Sus scrofa: one gene and its partners. The protein of the gene in region 2 interacts with the protein of the main gene of each other region in a pairwise test. Links are inferred from orthologs where the notes say so. Each region holds a gene or a part of one and is shown on either strand. Other genes may lie near its edges.

The links.
Region 1: the proteins of LIN7A (region 2) and MPP2 interact in binary tests that used the Homo sapiens proteins (3 or more experiments, as listed by UniProt). The two-hybrid records come from large-scale screens. The link is inferred for Sus scrofa from reciprocal best matches to the Homo sapiens genes LIN7A and MPP2.
Region 3: the proteins of LIN7A (region 2) and MPP5 interact in binary tests that used the Homo sapiens proteins (3 or more experiments, as listed by UniProt). The two-hybrid records come from large-scale screens. The link is inferred for Sus scrofa from reciprocal best matches to the Homo sapiens genes LIN7A and PALS1.
Region 4: the proteins of LIN7A (region 2) and MPP6 interact in binary tests that used the Homo sapiens proteins (3 or more experiments, as listed by UniProt). The link is inferred for Sus scrofa from reciprocal best matches to the Homo sapiens genes LIN7A and PALS2.

What each region holds. Positions count from the first base shown.
Region 1 is NC_010454.4:19,244,552-19,249,145, reverse strand, and holds the start of MPP2 (MAGUK p55 subfamily member 2), read right to left. Parts: upstream 3,082-4,594; 5' UTR 3,054-3,081; coding exon 2,972-3,053; intron 1,173-2,971; coding exon 1,054-1,172; intron 1-1,053. UniProt on the Homo sapiens protein: Postsynaptic MAGUK scaffold protein that links CADM1 cell adhesion molecules to core components of the postsynaptic density. In CA1 pyramidal neurons, required for synaptic KCNN2-containing channel function and long-term potentiation expression.
Region 2 is NC_010447.5:100,532,101-100,536,634, reverse strand, and holds the start of LIN7A (protein lin-7 homolog A), read right to left. Parts: upstream 3,006-4,534; 5' UTR 1-3,005. UniProt on the Homo sapiens protein: Plays a role in establishing and maintaining the asymmetric distribution of channels and receptors at the plasma membrane of polarized cells.
Region 3 is NC_010449.5:90,954,141-90,958,618, reverse strand, and holds the start of MPP5 (MAGUK p55 subfamily member 5), read right to left. Parts: upstream 3,089-4,478; 5' UTR 2,837-3,088; intron 2,587-2,836; exon of another isoform or gene 2,295-2,586; intron 1-2,294. UniProt on the Homo sapiens protein: Plays a role in tight junction biogenesis and in the establishment of cell polarity in epithelial cells.
Region 4 is NC_010460.4:47,708,469-47,712,836, forward strand, and holds the start of MPP6 (MAGUK p55 subfamily member 6), read right to left. Parts: upstream 2,945-4,368; 5' UTR 2,821-2,944; intron 2,213-2,820; exon of another isoform or gene 2,035-2,212; intron 1,517-2,034; exon of another isoform or gene 1,368-1,516; intron 1-1,367.

The DNA of each region.
Region 1 (4,594 bases), on a different chromosome or scaffold from region 2:
GCTCCCCCACGCACCCCGGTCCCTCCTTGCTTCTCATCTCGGTCGAAGGTGGCGCCAGATTCCCCTGTGCAGAATCTCAGGAGCCTGGCTACCCGTACCCCTCACCTTCCAAACACCAAGGATTTACCTCCTAACCATTTCCTCTGTCCTCCCTTCCCTCGCGCCGTTACCGCGGGTCTCATGCCGGGCCCTCCGGGACTCAGTCTCTCCAGCTCCAGCTGTGACCCTCCAGACACCCCCCCATGCAGCTGCCAGAGGGTGCCTAAAACACCCGCGTGTGTCATCACAGCCCTGCGGAAAGCCCACAGGAGGCTCCAGGTTGTCTATTGGATGATGCGCAAGCCCAGGCACAGCCTCCAGGGCCCTCTGCCCCCTGCCAGCTTCTCAGCAGCTCATACTCCCTCTTTTGCACCTGCAGCTCCAGCCTCACACTGCATGTGTGGCTCCTGTACCCTTCGGGCTCTTTCTCACCTCTGTTTCTGCTTAAGCTCTTCCTGTGGCCTAGAATGCCCTCCCCCTCCTCATTCTTCAAGACTCAGCTCAAGTGGTCCTTCCTCCAGGAAGTCTTCCCTGCCGCCCCATGGGCTGGTCAGCCATCTGCCCTTTCTGCTCCCGAAACACCTAGTGCCTCTGCCCACATTACCGCCATCATCAGATTGTTTTATAACTTTCTCCTCTAGTGAGTCTCTCCTCCACCTGACATTTGGCAGGTGACCTTAGAAAGAGGTCTGCACAAAATGCCCAAAGGCAGAAAGATGAGCAGGATGAAGTCCGGAGATTCCAAAGCACAGGCATGTTCACCCCTAACCAGTCATGCCCTCTACAAGCTGGCAGTCACCACACGCATCCACACGGGCCCATCCACACACTCATCTGTCAGGCATGGGGGCAGCCTGCCTCCCTACCTGGCTCAGATTCATCATCTGGGCGTGGATGTTCATGCATACCCTCTCTGGGGGTCTCTGGTGCCACATGTCCCAGCCCCAGGGCCCCTGTCCCCCATGCCTCCCCAGGCACCGTGCCCTTGTGCCTGAATCCCTCACAGCACTGTACCTTGGCCAAGGATCTCACTATGGGACTTTCCATAATGCCTCGAAGGAAGATCAGATCCAGTTCAGCAGCCCCCGTGGCATTGGGGAGGGATCCCAGGTTGTCCAGGACTTGCTGCATGGCTGGGGGGAAAGAGCAGCCTGTGAGACACACAGGTGCCAGCTGAGCACAGAGACCCAAACACACCCTATAGCGACCCTGCATCCTACTGCACATCCCACAGAAGACACCCCTCCTGGCAGCAAACCATTCCTGGCCCAGCACATCGGGACCTTGAATGTCTGGGGCAGGGGCCCTAAGAGGGGAGGGGCAATTTCCTTGGCCTGTTCTCTAGGCCCTAGATCATGCCAGCCTGGGCAGGAGGGAGGCCCTAGGCAGCGGGAAGTGGACACTGAGGTAGGGGGAGGGGAGAAAGGGAAGCAGGGTCAGGTTCCAGGTTCTGCCCTAAACCAGAGAACCAGACTCCGCATCCAACCTCTGGATGGGCTGAAGCCCCAGGACTCAGCCACCCACACGGGCAGGTTCAGGGATGAGAGACGATGGCTTAGAGCATGTCCCTGAGTGCCCGCCTGGAGTCAAGCAGACAGCCATGCAGGAGGTCAGAGCCTACACAGCATCCCGTACCAGCTGTGCCACTAATTCAGTGTGATTTTGCACAAGTCACTGCCTCTCACAGATCTCAGTCTTCCCTTCCTGTAAAATGGGTGTATTGGACTGGATACATCTACAGGCCCTTCAGCTCTGACAGACAACTGTCAAGAAATTAGTACAGGAGCTCCTGCTATGGTGCAACAAGATTGGTGGTGTCGTGGGAGATGGTGGGATGTGATCCCCAGCCCGGCACAGAGGGTTAAGGATCGGGTGTTGCCTCAGCTGTAGCTCAGGTCATGACTGCCACTCAGATCTGATCTCTGGCCCAGGAACTCCTTATGCCACTGGGCAGCCAAAAATGAAAAAGAAAGAAAGAAAAAGAGAGAGAGAGGAAGGAAGGAAGGAAGAAAAGAAAAAAAGAAAGAAAGAAAGAAAGAAGAGAAAGAAATTAGTCTAGATCATAGGGAGCCAAAGCTGAGGCCCAGAACACTGGTAGAAGCTGGGGAAATGGGCACCCTGGGGCCTAGGATGGCTGAGGGCACCCAGGGGCAGAAGCTGAACCAAGTCATCCCACGGATCGGTGAACCCTCAGCCTGGGATCAGACAAGGGCGTGAGAACACCTGAAGCGGCCACTGCTGAGACCTAAGGTGGGGGGTGTCTTCCTTCCACCACCAGCGGGGATGGGGGGTGTCTTCCTTCCCCCACCTGGCTGTGGCAGGTTCTGGGGGAAGGAAGGGAGAAGCAGTGTGCCCAGCTGGGGGAGAGATGGGCAGGGGGTATCATTACTCTGCCACCCTGCCACCCACGCCTACATCTGTATAAAAGCACCCAAGCCGGGGAGGAGGAGGGGTGGGTACCGTCCCTGGCACCTCTCACTGCTCTCAGCAGTACCCTCTCCTCCAGGAAGGAACTGTGGATGGGGGGAGGCACTGAAACCAGAGCTGGCAGCCAGGGTTCAAGGGCTCCTGCTCTCCCACCCTCTTCCCCCTCATCCTCCCCACCTTCTCCAGAAACAGCATCCACGTCTGCCCTCCAGACCCCTGCTGCTCAGACCTGGGCTTGGCCTTGGTCAGAGACCTTCAAGGCCCATAAGAGACTCAGAAAAAGGCCAGAGCAGGGACCCTTCCCTCTCTGCCCAGATATCCTGGGACGGTCCCCAGACAACCTCATAACCGGATTTCCCAGCCTGCCAGCCACAGGGAGGACTGAGCCAGGGGAGTTGGCGCCCTCAGCCCAGGCCTCGGCGCCCCCAAAACCTTAGGATCCCGGGAGCCCGCTCCTAGGGCACCCTAGATGCCCCAGCCTCACCGCCCCGCCTTTCCGCCCTACCTTCCCTCTGGAGCTCAGCTTCCTCAGAGGAGCCCAGGGATATACCCTCCAGGGAGGCCCCGCTGCCTGGGCTGCCCGCCATGGCTGCCCCTCGCCCGGTCCGAGGCTCCCAGAGTGGCCTGCACACCGCCGCCGCCTTCCCAGTCCGAGGGCAGCGCTGGAGGAGGCGGGACTCGGGAAGCGCCCCCTGCAGGGCTAGCCAATAGCAAGGCTCAGCCGCCCTGACCGCCTTTCTGATTGGCCAATGCCCCAAGTGAAGCAGACCCCAGAGGGGGCAGTAAAAGCTCTGGGAGGGGGCGGTGGGAGAGTGAGTCCTCAGCCCACGGGTGACCCGATCCCCCTGTTTTAGTACCTTCTAGTGGGGGTGGGGAGGAGGCGGCTGAGGAAAGATTCGAAAGCGGAGAGGGTTAAGCGTGCAGCCCCTTCAAGACTAGGGCGGTGCTCAGGGACTCTCCCCAACCAGCCCAGCTGCGGGGAACCCAAGGTGGGTGGGGATTTGGCCCCATCTTGTTCCTGCCCCCCGCTTCTGGAAATCCCTCCTGTATTACACCCCTTGCCGCCGCCTCCTCTTCGTGCCCTCCAACCTCTCTGTCCCCTCTTCAGGCCCAGTTTCCTCTACTATGACTCCCTCAGGATTAAAGGAAGACCCCAAGAATGATTCTCGGTCCTGCGCCAGGAGGCAGTGGCACCACTTTGGCGTGGGGCAAATACCTCAAAGCCCAAATGCCTCTCCCAGCTGCCATTTGTGAGGGAGTGGGGGAGGGAAAGGGGTGGCATCACTATGGGCACAGAAGGGCACCCCAAGATTTCTAACCCCACATCTCAGCAGCGGTTTCACCCTCCCCCATCTCCCGTTAGCACTCCCCCTTGGATATGAGGGTGATGCCTGTGGACAAGGCAGAATTAGGGAAGGGAAAAGGTGAGTGAGAGACCATTGAGGAAGCAGGGACTAGGGTAGGCACTGGGGGGCACTTGACAGTTACCCCAACCCAGAGCCACCATTCATTCCTCTGAGACCCTGTACCCATGAGGGCACCACTAGGCACTGCTGCCTCCACCAGACAACTATTCCCTGAGGAGTGGCACCAGGGCACAGCACACCCCCTGGTTGCCATGGCAGCAGGCAGGATTACACACTAGGACATTAACCCAGAGATTTAAAGGGACAGCTCCACCTGAAAACCCCATGACCTAGCCTTGATTCAAAGAAAGAAGGGAACTAGGTACAGGGGGAAGAGAGGGCAGGGCTGCAGGCCTGGAGTCCAGGGACAAGCTGTCTAAACGCTCAGCCCATGCCATTACCTGTGTATCTCCAACCCTCAGGAAAAGGGTCCCTCCACATTACTAGTAACAGAGTTGGGGTCTCCCTGCAAGAGGAATATTCCCACACCCTCTCCCTTTCTCCACAATGACCGTGGCCATACTGACTTGTGGGTAAGGGTGGAAAGACCCTGCTAGCTTCGTTCTCTGCAGAACCCAAGGCAGAGGTCTCTGGGGGAAGAGAGAGGGAGGGGGAAAGTGAACCCGACCTCAGAGGCAGGGACCCAGCTATCTCTCTGTCAGGTCCGTGGGATGTGTCATGACCACCACATGAAAAGGGGCAGAACCATCATTAGATTTTTG
Region 2 (4,534 bases):
CCCTGCAGTCTCACTGAGTTGTGTGAGGGTCTGACGAGATCATGCACATGTATGTGCTTCGAAAACAGGAGAGTGTGTACAAATGGATTCGTACAGCAAACATACATTCCACCCGAACTCTATGGCAAGCACGCTGCAAGGTGCTGGCCATGCAAAGATTAATGAGACATGACCCTTTTTCTAGATAATGCTCAGTACAAGTTGGGAGACAAATAATGAGCAAGCTGTGAGAATATGAGCAAGCTCTGAGCAAGAATGGGAGCAGTAAGTCCTCTAAGCACCGCTGAAAGTTAAGTCCTGTGGGAGAAAGGAAGAAGCAACAGTTTGGGTTGATTATCATTATTCACATCCCCAAAACCAAACCACAAAAAGAAGTGTAATTGTGCACAATAACAATAGAATATATTCCAAGGTTTTGCACAAAATATCAAACCTCATGCAATAACAGAGGATGAAAAGAACATACAAATCCCTTGGCCATTAACGTAGTTCTTAACATATTCTATTATGAATATGTATTTGAGTGGCTTGATTCATAAATCTAAAAGCCATATTTTTAACATAAATCCTAGATTGTGAAGTCCACGAAGGTAGCCTTTTCGTCTTTTTGTTTCTTGATGTATCCCCAGCACCAAACATTTCATAGCCTGTTTCTGGACTTATGGTTTGAGCTCCCTAATTGAAAATTTATTCTACCATTCTCTCTCTGTGTTGACTCTGTAGGGTTTTTGGAAGGTTTGAAAGAAAATGTAAGAGAAAGCACAAATCACCATATATTCATCAGTTATTATTTCTAGTAGTGGTAAGTTCAGTGCCTTTAGCTTATGTCTGCACAGGTGTAGAAAATGAATAATAATTTATTATCTGTTAGATTTTGTTTTTTAATAAAGTATGCATAACTACTATCTCTCTAAAATGTTTGTGAATTTTTGAGACGTGTAGAAACACAACAAAAGGTCCTTAATCACTTCCGTTGCTTTAGTAGATGTTACCATACTTAGATCTCTTGAATAAGCGCCTGGACCACTCTGGTACCAAGCACAGTGTTTCATCAAGATCAATATACTTGATCTATTCATATGTATGTTGTTTTGCTGATTGTGTATTAATCAGGGAATTGTTAAAACACCCTGGTTATACAATCAATGCAATTTTTCATTAAATGATATATAGTAATTTACTTCAATGAGTCTTTATCAAATTCATGAATGAGTCAATCAAATTCATTCAATAAATACTTATTGAGCACTTAACATGTGCCAGGTTGATTTTTCTTTCCTTCTCAGCCCAGAAAAGTAGGTATTGTCACTCCATTTTAGAGATTCAGTAAACTGAGTCTTAGAGGTTCAATGACTTGCTTAAAAAGAGTAGCACCTGTATTCGAAAGCTCCTGTATTTTGCACTGAGAAACATACTAATCTTTCAGAGTTCCATATATGTATACTATATCTATATCTAGCGAGCTAGCTAGTTATCTAGCTAGCTAGTTAGCTATCCTTTTACGCTTGAGATAAACTCAAAGAGAAAAATGCATGGAGGAAATTTAGGTCAAAGAAAAAAGAACTATGATGCTGGTTCCATTCTATATAAATACAGGTTAATATTAAAATGACTACATACTTTGAATATAAAATCTTTTCTTGTTAAAAAATTCATTCAAAGTTACGTTAAGGTCTGTTTCACTTAATTGAATCCTTGTGAATTATATGACAAAATCAAGAGAAGGTTTGCATAAAGCATTAGCATACCAAGAAAATGTGTTTAGTTAGATTATAAATGGAGTATAATAAGCACAGTTTCATATGAGGAAAAGAGCACCTTCAAACTGGAATTCTTTCAGCCTTGGGTGTTAGAAATTATTTTTGACTAATTTAAGATACCATATTCTCTCCCTTAATTCTCACAGTTTTGTCAAAACAGCACTGGATTAAAATGAAGTGCCAACCTATATTGTGGAATCTAAATGTTTGCGGGTTTTTTGAATCATCACAGAGCACCTTACTATATTTATTTTATCCTTAGATTTTTAAAAAACTGAGTGGCAATTTTGTTCATGGTAAAATGTCTGAATCTTAGACTTGATAACATTTGTCTTGATAACATTTGTCTGTTCATTCAACAAATACTGTACGTAACTCTATCCCAGATGCTGTTCTAGGCACTGGGATATTGCAGTGACCAAGAAATGCCCCTGCTCTCACTTGGTGTGTATTCTCACGGGAGAGAAATCCATAAGAAGCAAACAAGAAAAATATCAATTAGTGACTAAGTGCTGTGCAAAGAATGGAAAATTGAGGACTGAAGTGAGTCTAGAATAATATCTGGTTTACAAAAGACAGAGACAAGGGAAAAGGGCATTCTGAGAAGCAGGAGAGTAAAGCGGGGGTGGGAGAACAGACACGTGTGTCTTAAGGGCAAAGCAGGCAGTTCAATTGGGAGCATAAGAAAAGGAAGACTAAAGAGGGCCATTGAGAGTCAGGTTATGAAAGATAATGTAATTAACAGAAATGTAATGAATCCTTCAAGAACTGTTTTGTGCTCATCATACAATGGAATATGCCAAAGACAATCCAGGCTAAGAAAAAAAAACTGTGTTGTGGAATCTACATTAAAAATTACCAATATCAGAAAGAAATGACTTACTGATTCAGAGTTGGATGTGAGAGAACTGAAGATGAAATACAAATATAAAATGTCGATTTCAATTATTTTTCATTTCTTTCAAAAGAAATTTTGTCAAACTTTGAGACAGATAATCTGATATATGAATAATTAATCTTCGCTTGTAGGGTCTTTTTGCATTATTTTACATTACCAATTATCTTCAAAAAATAAGCATAATAATTAACGTTTGCTCTGGTTCTGCCATAGGCCATGGCACATATAAGTGCACTAGTATGCTTTATTTATGCCCATTTAACTCATATAATATAAAAGGATGTTTTGGTTTCATTTTGAAATAAACATTTTTCTGTTATGATTGATCTTTTGTAATAAAATTTAAATTCAAACCTTACAATTTTCTTCTTTTTCCTTACACATCCCCTCATACTTACACCATTGGGAAAGCCTCATAGACACAAGGGAGGCAAGATAAAATGATTTTTAAAAGTGTTACCGGATTCATCTCTTTCTCATATCTACTCAGGAAGTATTTCCAAAATTTTAGACCCCACAAACTTTACTGGTTTTTAAAAACCTTTTAATTACTATTGCATCTCAGAACATTTTTAATATATCCATCTTTGAGTCTATAATTATACTTTTATCCAACAAATGTTCATGGTGAACCTGCTATATGCTAGACACTGCTCTAGGTTCAGTGGAAAACATGGAGAGGGCACCTTTACATATGGAGCTTAGTTTTTTATGAAGGGAGACAGATAAAACACAACGATAAATCGGAGAACCTTAGGTAGTGGTAAGAACCACAGACATGCTGAAGCTGTTTACACTGTTAGGCTCGACCCAGTTATGTGCCTCTTGCCCCAACGTCACTTTTAGTGGCATCACCCTGGTAGGTTTAGATTGGCCAGGATAGCAGTATTTACACCAAGGGTATTGGCAAATACTACGTATGGAAATTTTCTTTTTTTTTCCCCCCTCTGGAAAGCTAATTGCTAAACATGTACCAGCATACCATAAAGTCCACAAAGAAAATAAAATACAAAGTGGTGACAAAATATACAGCAGGGAGCTAGCAACATTCATTAAAATGGTTGGAAAATAAGTCATGCATTTGACAGAAACTTTTGTAAAATAACAAGTTGACTTCATATTTGATGGACCACTGCCTAGGATGCTGCGGATGGAGTTAGAAGAAGTAGGAGACATTCATGCTATTTTTGAGGAGATTACAAAATGTTTGGAAAGGAAACAAAAGCATCAATCGAAAGGCATAGAATTAATTACACCATGATGTAGCAATGAGAATATGTGATAGTATAAATCTCTATGTGATAAGGGCATGTAACATAAAAGGAAGTCTGGATTCTTTGAATACTGCGTGGAGGCAGCTTACATGTACTTTTAGAGGAATCTTGGAGATATTTTCTTTCCTGCATGTGGATAATAAAGTTTCACCCCTTTGAGCAGAAAGCTGCTCCTTGCAATTTTGAATCAAATGATTGCTAACCAAGTGGGTGGAGACTTCCTGAGAACTACAGAAAAGGATGGACAAGATCAGTATAACTGGGTGCCTGTGTTGGTAGAGAATCTTATGGTGCTGAAAGAACGCTGTGGCCTTGATCCTTAAAAAGAACACTAATGATAGTCAGGATTTACTTGTTTTAGCTTTAGCTTCATTTAAAATATGGCTTAAATGGGTTTTTCTTGAAAAGCCCCTCAATTCCTGACTTTCATGTTTTACTTAACCTTGCCCAACTTACTTATTTCTCTCGAATTCTGGTACGATGGAATTAATTAAGAATATTAGGGAGAATAAAGGGCATTTTCAACTTCTTCCCAAATTGTGACACGGTACAATAATTGAGGCAGTAACAGAATTAACTGTAGGTGTGCTAAGGGCCATATG
Region 3 (4,478 bases), on a different chromosome or scaffold from region 2:
TCAGTGGGTTAACGATCCGGCATTGCCGTGAGCTGTGGTGTGGTCACAGATGCGGTCGGATCCTGCATTGCTGTGGCTCTGGTGTAGGCTGGGCAGCTACAGCTCCGATTAGACGCCTAGCTTGGGAACCTCCATATGCCTCGGGAGCGGCCCTAGAAATAGGCAAAAAGACAAAAAAAAAAAAAAAAAAAAAAAGCAACAACCCGAACCGAATCCTTAACCTGCTTTGCCACATGAGAACTCCTCTAGCACGTTTTTTGTTTTGTTTTTTAAATAAAGTTAAACATACACTTCCCACATGAGCCAGAAATTTCACTCGTAGGTGCTTACCCAAGAAAAATGAAAACCTGTTGGCAAAGATTTATAGCAGCTTTATTCATAGTCCAAACAAACAACTCAAATGTCTTTCAACTGTAGATGGAGAAACAAACTGTGATACATCCACACATTGGAATACTACATTCATCAATAAAATGGAAGGAACTGCTGGTATACTCAACGACATGGATGAACACTCAAATGTACTACGCTATATGAAAGAAACCAGACTCAAAAGGCTAAATGTTCTAATGATTCCATTATCTGATATTCTAGAAAAGACAAGCTACTGGTAAAGACAACAATCATTAGTTTCCAGGGATCAAGGGTCGGGGAAGAGGTGACTACAAAAAAGAGTAGCTCAGAGGAATTTCAGGCACTGGAACTGTTATGTGTCTTGATTTGGATAATTGAACAGCTTTGCGCATTTGTCAAAACAATTGTACAACAAAAAGTTAACCTCATTTCACAAAGTTAAGACTGTTGTGAAAGAAAGAAAATAAAAATACCTTTCTCACCCATCAGATTGGCACAAATTAAATCTGATATTGCCAATCTGACAATTGCAAGTGTGGACAAGGATGACTCATATACTGTTGGCAGGAATGTAAACTGTTACAACTTTTTAGAGGGTAATTTGGCTGCAGCTAGTAAAGGTGAGAATGTACATCGACCTATGACCCAGAAAGTCATTCTGGAGAAAACTTCACAAAAGTGTTGAAGGATGCATGCACAAGGATGTTCATTAAACAATGTTTGAAACATTGAAAAACTGAAAACAGCCCTTCAGTAGGGAAATGAATTAATTGTGGTTAGTGGTTATTTTTAAAAGAAAGGGGGAAAATGAGTAAGGGTAATTTAATTGGTTTATTTAACAACAGTATATAGTGAAAAGAACACTGTACTTAGAATCTGAAGGCAAGCATTTTAGCATTTAGTTCCAACTCTGCCACTTAACTAGTCGGTGTATAAACCTGTTTCCTTTTCCTGGAAAACGAAGAGGTCAGATGATACAAACACTAAAATTACTTCCAACTCAACAAATGATGTATAAAGTAGACCAAATTTCTTGGTACGTCTGTAATACGCTTCTTAATCAAGATAATAATAACTCAGAAAAAGCATGTAAACTCCTAAACTCATTCTACTGATTGGGTAACCCTCAGGTAAAAATTATATATTCTTTCACATTTTAACATTCTAAAACAAGTTAATATTACTGAGTTCATCCTGTCAAGTTAAGATCTGTCTGGCCAAAAGTCAATCAAATACATGGTAAGATTTACTTGATTTTGTTTTACCAAAGATAAAATGATGAATTGCTTTCTGTATTTTTTGCCTATTTCATCTATAAAATTCTTAATTTAATAGCTTCCACCTGTTACAGTAGTTTAAAGAGCCTTTTAAAACTTGTAATAAGCCAAGTCCACAGGGATCAAGTAAAAAATTAGTTTATAATCCAAAAAAGCTCACTTAACAATTTTATTACCTCAATACTCATACTTCAAAGACACCAATAACCAGCCTGTCATTTGTTCCTATTGCAGAATTTAATAGCTTATTAACTTCTGGTATAATCTAAACATAATTAGAAGCTATCATTAACACATAAGACTTTAAAAAAAAATCAGAAATCGTGACACCTCTCACCTTATTAAAATCAAAATTCCAAAACTCTTGTTCTTAAGGGCTTTCCAAATCTAAATTCTCACAACTCTAAACGAGTGCGGAGATAAAACACACACTATGTACTGCTTCCAAAAACCTCCTAGCTACCAGATTTTAATTTGAGCGCCAACTGCCTTTCGACCGAAACCTAAATTCCGGACACCTTACTGTATGTCAATCAACTAACGAGAAGGTGAGCTATTATTAATAGGAAATTACATAATTTGCACCAAAGATTGTTTAAAGCGCCTTCCATTAAAAGCAGCTTATAACAAGTGAGGGCTTCGAAGTTCACCTTGCAAACTTACAGCAAATTATCGGAAACCATAAACGAGATTTGGCTCTTCTTTAAAAGTGGTTACAAGGAAGTAGAAATTGTTTGTTTATTTGTTTAAAGAATGCAACCAGCAGCCGAATACCAGGGGCTGAGTCAGGCAGAGGAACGCCGACTACATTCCGTCTTCTAAAGGAAAATGTTCTTCGCCCGCCGATTTCCCCGACCCGGCCTGGAGGGAGTCCCGGGAGTCGCGAACTCGGGGGCGGGGGCGCAGAGAGCAGGGGCCTCCCTCCAACTCTGGCTGGGCGGGCAAAGTCCCCGCCGAGGTGGGTCGTTCGCCAAGGCAGAGGGAGCGGGCACGGCCAGACAGCGTACCTCCGAGGGACAAAGGTTGGGCTCACGCCCTCTGCGGCCGGCCGGCTAGCGCTGCCTGGAGCAGCCCGTGAAGAGCCCCGGGTCCCGCCCGGGCCCAGAGGAGGGGGAGGGGGCGAGCCCGGCCGCCCCCTCCCCCGCCGCTCGCGGGGACCTGTTGATTAAGACCTCAACACGGAACCGCTGCCGGACGCCACTTACCTCCGCGCCCCAGTGGCCGCCGCCGCTCCTCCCGCCCCAGCCGCTCCTCAACGCTGCAGAAACGACAGCTCCCCAGCTGCACTTAAAATACCGGATAAAGAATCCAGAAAGTCGCGTTTCCCCACCTCACAATCCTTAGTCCCCGCCCCCGCCCCACCGCCAGTCGCCGCCGTCGCTGCCGCGGCCTCCAGCGACTCCACCTCGAGACCGCGCGAGACCAGCCCCCGCGGCAGCCGCGAGACCGCGCACGCGCCCCCGGGACTCTGGCGCAGCGGGCGCGCCTATCCCAGTGGCTCCCCGGCACGCCCGCCTGCGGTCAGGCAGGGAGGCTGGCGCGGTTTGCCCAATCCCGAGCCGGCGCGGAGAGACGGCCCGCTTATTGGCCCGCTCCGTAGCTCTGAGCGGCCGGTCGCGCGCGCACTCGCGCGCCTCTCAGTGGAAAACGCGAAGTGCTTCGGGCTCTCAGGCGCTAGGGAACCACTTTGGGTTTGAGCCCGCGGGCCAGGTTATGCGAGGACGTGAGGTTTCCCTAAGACGCAATGGGAGTGAACTAACGCTCCACAGACCTTTTCTCTCTCCCTAAATGTCCGTCGGCTCCTGACGGATAACTAATTCCCTTGAGGCGACTCCTCATGTCCTGTGAAGCATGTCCCACGATCTAACATTTGTTTAAAGAGTAGAACCATGGCTTACGTGAACACGGGTATGTGTGGGGTCTCACGAAAGAATTCTCTGCCACCACGGAAGACTCCACAAAGCTAGCAGCTCGGACCGAGTTCTGAAAGCCAGGCAGGAAGGGTGCCAAGCGCCACAGCTGTTTTCACAAAACGCGGGTACCTGGGTCAACCCACATCCAGTGTAAGAAAATCCAAATAGTCTCCAGGATTCCCTAGAAACTGGTACCCACATCCAATGAGGAGGAAAGAAAAAAAATGTTAGTGTGTGTGCTTTATGGGTGTGTAAAGAGAGGCCCATTTCCTTTCTAAGTTCTTAAATGCATAAAATAAGTAATTCCAGAAGCTTCCTTTAGCTCCGCAATGAGTTTTTTCCCCCTCTACCTCAGGGTTTCCACCCTCGGTGCTATTGACATTTGGACCAAGTAATTCTTTGTTGTGGAGACTGACCTGTGCAATTTAGGATGCTTAGCAGCATCGCTGGTCTCTACCCATCAGGTACCAATAGCACCACTAGCCCCTAGTGACCATCAAAAATGTCTCTAGCCTTTGTCAAAGATTCCCTTGAAGGACAAACTCACTTCCAGTTGAGAACCGCTGATTTAGCTTTTCAAAGAAATGCCATTGAGGAAAAAAGACAGCGTTTTGTGTTTTTTTTTTTTTCCGCATTTTTCCAGAGCATTTTTTAGAAGAATTTTTTTCTTTCTTTTTTTTTTTTTTTTTTTTTTTTTGTCTTTTTGCCATTTCTTGGGCCGCTCCCGCCACATATGGAGATTCCCAGGCTAGGGGTCGAATCGGAGCTGTAGCCGCCGGCCTACACCAGAGCCCACAACACTGGATCCGAGCCGCATCTACAAGCCTACACCACAGCTCACGGCAACGCCAGATCCTTAACCCACAGAGCAAGGGCAGGGATCGAACTCCCAACCTCATGGTTCCTAGTCGGATTCGTTAACCACTGCACCACG
Region 4 (4,368 bases), on a different chromosome or scaffold from region 2:
TAGCGTATACAAAGGCATGGTAAGTTCTCAAACAGCTTCAAGTTAAAAACAGTACAGGTAACACACAGAGTCCTGTAATTATGACTTCTTGGTTATCCCAAGCTAAAAATGGGAGGGGGGAGGCAGAGAGACACAGGCTGTGTAGTCTTCTGGAACAATTTCAGCCTGAAATGAGACTCAGGAAAAATGCAAACTGCTCCCACGAATGTTTAAGAAAAATATGATTCGTTTAAAAAAAAATCCAACAGTTGGCCAGAGAACAAAAAATGATTCTGTCTTCCACAGAACTATCAGCCTTGCTGAAGGCCCTATTTTTTCCAGTGCTCATTTAATCTTGAATATATAAAGAAGAGAGTCATTTTGAAATTCCAAATGGAAAAGGAACCCAGTGGCATCAATCAGAAAAGGACACACACAGACCCCCACATGTTTTTTCATAAAGATATTTAGCATGCAATCTCTACAGGACAAAACCAGGGCTATTAAAAGTGTTACCACTTGTATATTATGTAACCCTAGTCTAAACTAAAAGCAGCACAGACCTTAAAAAGTAACACATTGTGCAAACATGTATTTAAACATACATTTAAATATATGACAGATCTCAGATACCAGATGACCTCAGGATGACACAACCCATGAAAGTTGTTTGCTGTAATCAGGCCTCAGAAGACATGACTATAATCAGGCCTGATACCTTATCATAATTGCACAGCAGATGCCTAAAATAAGCAGTAATAGCGTGAGATCCGTTGTTTCACACATGTACCGCAACTATCTCCGCATTGGTAACAGAGTGTTGCCTCGCCTGAAATATTCGACCTGCATAAGTTTCTGAACGACCATTTCAAAGATTTCTCGGGAAGACATGGCTGCTAAATCCTACTCCAATTGAAAAGCAGTTTAACGCACCTCCAATGTTCCAAGGCGTATTACAAGGAGGCCAATTCAGGAGGCATAAAGTCAAATTCCAACACCCCAAAGGCATAGAAAAGGAGTAAAATGTAACCAGCTGTTTGTAAGTCAGGCGGAGAATTTTCCTGAGATTCCCCACCAGCCTTCAACTCCGTCCCTCGCCTGCCCCCAACCCTGCTTACATGCCCCAGCTGATGGAAGTTGAACGGATGGAATCACGCGCTGTAATCCCAGGAGCTGCGGAGACGGAGACGAAACTCCCAAGAAAGTGTTAAAAAAAAAAAAAAATCCTTCTGCAAAAAACACCCACCAACCAACCATCCACATCCTGTCATCACAACGACCGTAAGATCCCTCAGTCGACTCGACTCCCTTCCTGGCCCTTCACCCCGCCAAAAAAACAAAAAAAAAAAAGAAAGAAAGAAAGAAAGAAAAAGAAAAAGCCCCAGCACCTTTCGGGTTCCAGACACGCGTACCCAGAATCGGAAAGCACTGCCTCGGCCGCAACCGCCTCCGGAGCCGCGTGTGCTCGGCCCCCAAGCACTCTGCTCAAACAACTGGAGTCTCGTGCCTCGGAAGTAGCGGCAGGACTTGCAGAAAGCCTCCTCCCCCAACGACTCGGGGCTGGGGAGGCGGCCCGAGGTCGGCTGCGTCGCCCCCTCCCGAGACGGACCCCGGAGGTGTCCGTCACGGCCGCCGCCGCCCCCGGCGCAGCCCTCCATTCACGCTTTCCCACCGCTCCCGCCGCAGAGGGGGTCCGCGCCCCGCGCCGCTGCCCTGCGCCCGGAGGGCCCCCGCGCGACCCCAGCCCCAGCCCGGCCCCCGCCGGGGAGCACGCTGGCGAGAGCCGGGCGCGGCGCGGCGGCCGGCGGCATGGGCCAGGCACGTTGCCGCGCTCCGCCCGCCCGCAGCCCGGGAGCCAGGGGCCCGGCAGAGCGCGTCCCTTCCGCGCGGCCCGAGCGGAGCAGCCCCCGCCGCCGCCCGCGCCCAGGTGCCGAGGGGGCGGGGCGGGCCAGGGTCCCCGCGTGGCCCGCAGCCGTGAGCAACAGGGCGCCCCCGCAGCCGGCCCCGCGCGCGCCGAGACCGTTACCCGAGCGACGTGGGGCCCCGGCAACTCACCGGCTCGCACCTCGGCCGCCTCCGCGCCGCCGCCGCCGCCGCTCCCGTCCGCCGGCCGCCGCTGCTCTTCCTCAGCCGCAGGCGCCGCCGAGCAGCCCCATCTACAAACTCGCGGCTCGTAGTTGGGACCTGGAAAGGCGGCTCTCGCTCCCCTGCGCCGCCCTCCCCCTCCGCCCCCTCCCTCGCGCCCCACTCCGCCCGGCTCCGGTCGCCGGCGCCGCCGCTGCCACCACCGCGCGCGCGGCCAGCCTCTCCTCCGCCGCCCTCCTCCGCCGCCGGCCGGCCGCCGCCCACCTCCTCCTCCTCCTCCGCCTCCTCCCGCCGCTGCCGGGGCGCGCTCCCTCCCGGCCTCGCGCGTGCGCCGGACGCCGCGGAGCACGCTCGGGCGCGAGGAGGCGCCACCGCCTCGGGGAAGCCGGCCCCGCCCCTCCGGCCGCGGCGGGGCGACCAGGTGGAGCCCCCTCCCCGCGCCGGCAGACGGCGCCCCGGCCCGACCGCGCGGCCCGCCTCTCGCGGGGCTCCCGGGTCCGGCCCCGAGCCGCGCACGCCCGCGCGCGAGGGTCCCCCAGCCCCAATCCCCACCGGATCTTCCAGGCCGAAATTGCAGCTGTCACTCAGCATTTACCGAGGAGCAGGAGACTCCACCGGGCGTAAAAGAGGCTCCTCCCAGCCCCTTTCAAGAGTTTACATTCAAAGAACCCACCAGCCGTGGGGCCCAAAGGATAAAAAGACCTCGAAGAAAAAAAGCCTCTGGAAAATCTCCTCCCTCCCCCTTCACACACGCACCTCTGGTTTTGATGTGTATTCAGCAGGTTCTACGGCGCTGTGTCCTCCGTGAATTTCCTCCCGGAGGCCCAGCCAGGGAGTGTGATGCACACCCGAGGAAATGGACGGACACTAGCTCTTTTCATAGCACCGAGGCGCCCGTGGCACCCCCGGAGCCGGCTTTGCCGAACACTCCTGGGACACCAGTTGTTGAGCTCCCTCCAGACACCCGGCCTTCGCAGACCTCGGAAGTGGGGCTGCGCCACCCTTTCCACCTGGACTCTGCCTCTGCGGGGTGCATGGTGAACTGGGATGAGTGTCCGGGTGTGCAGATGACAGATTTTGACAGGAGCGCAGATTTAATTTTTCAGTTGAAAGGAACTGAGCGATGCGGTGCTGCAGAGGCTCTGGTAGAAAAACACAGCCAGGCAGTCTGAGAACTTCCGATTCCCTTAACCTCTCCCTGAATCCCAAGAGATCTGTGAACCCTCAGACCTGTGATGGGGCTTTTGGCAAAGCTGCTGTGTCAGCTGCTGCCGCTTCCTGAAATTGAAGAAGCTATGAACGCCTTGTTTACATTTTACAAAACGTTTACTGCAGTCTTTTCAAACCGGGAATTTAGAAAGTGCAAGTAAAACGTGACAAGGGCGGAACATCGCATCAGGTGGCTTCCTCTATGCAGCCTTTCCTGGCTTCTCTTGGGCACAGTGGCACTGTCCTGCACCAACCAGGCATTTGCTAAATGCTAGCAACATGGCCCTTTGGATTCAGAGATGGAGTTTTCAAGCTGCATTGTGGCTAGCACGGGAGGGAGGGAGAGAATGCTATGGAAGGGGTGTATTAAGACCCAAAACATTTTCTCTTAGCCTCAACCAAGCATCAAAGATTAATTTACTTTTCCATTAGGATCATTAATTTTGCAAACCCACACACAGGGGGAGTTTGTCGAGTATTAATTTAGAACCTTCTTTCCTGGAACAGCAAACCTGAGGAAGGGAAATTGGAAGCATTTAAGGACATCTGAATGTACTAAGGGATACCAGTAACTCCGAGCCCATGCTGAGCCCCCCTCCCTCATAGTCAGGCCAGTTGGATGAAATGAAGTTGACTGTGCCCTGTGCCCAAGAGTGAGGCAAGGCGGATGCAGAAGGGAAATATGTTTCTCTTCTCAGAATTAGGAAAAACCTCCACGTCTTCCTTTTCCTTCTCCTTGTTTCCCAGGTCCGTTTACTTCCCACAGGATACCCAATGGCTCATTCCCACTGCACCCTACCCACACCTCCCAACTTTGATCCTCTTCTTCCGATTCCCAATCTCACCACACCCTCTCCTACCAGGTGGTGCCCCGAGCCCCTCCAAGGGAGGGGATGAAGGTCATTTCTGGTATGTTCCTGATCCCTTATGAGTCCACCTTTGTTTCCTCAAGGGTCTTGCGGAAGCAATGTACTAACCTCCTACTCCACCCCCACTCCCTGAAAATAGGATGCGTTTCACTGAGAAAGTGTCAGGGAGGGAGAGATGGGGAGACTGTCCCTCAAATTATAACATGTAATCCTCCTGACTTAACAG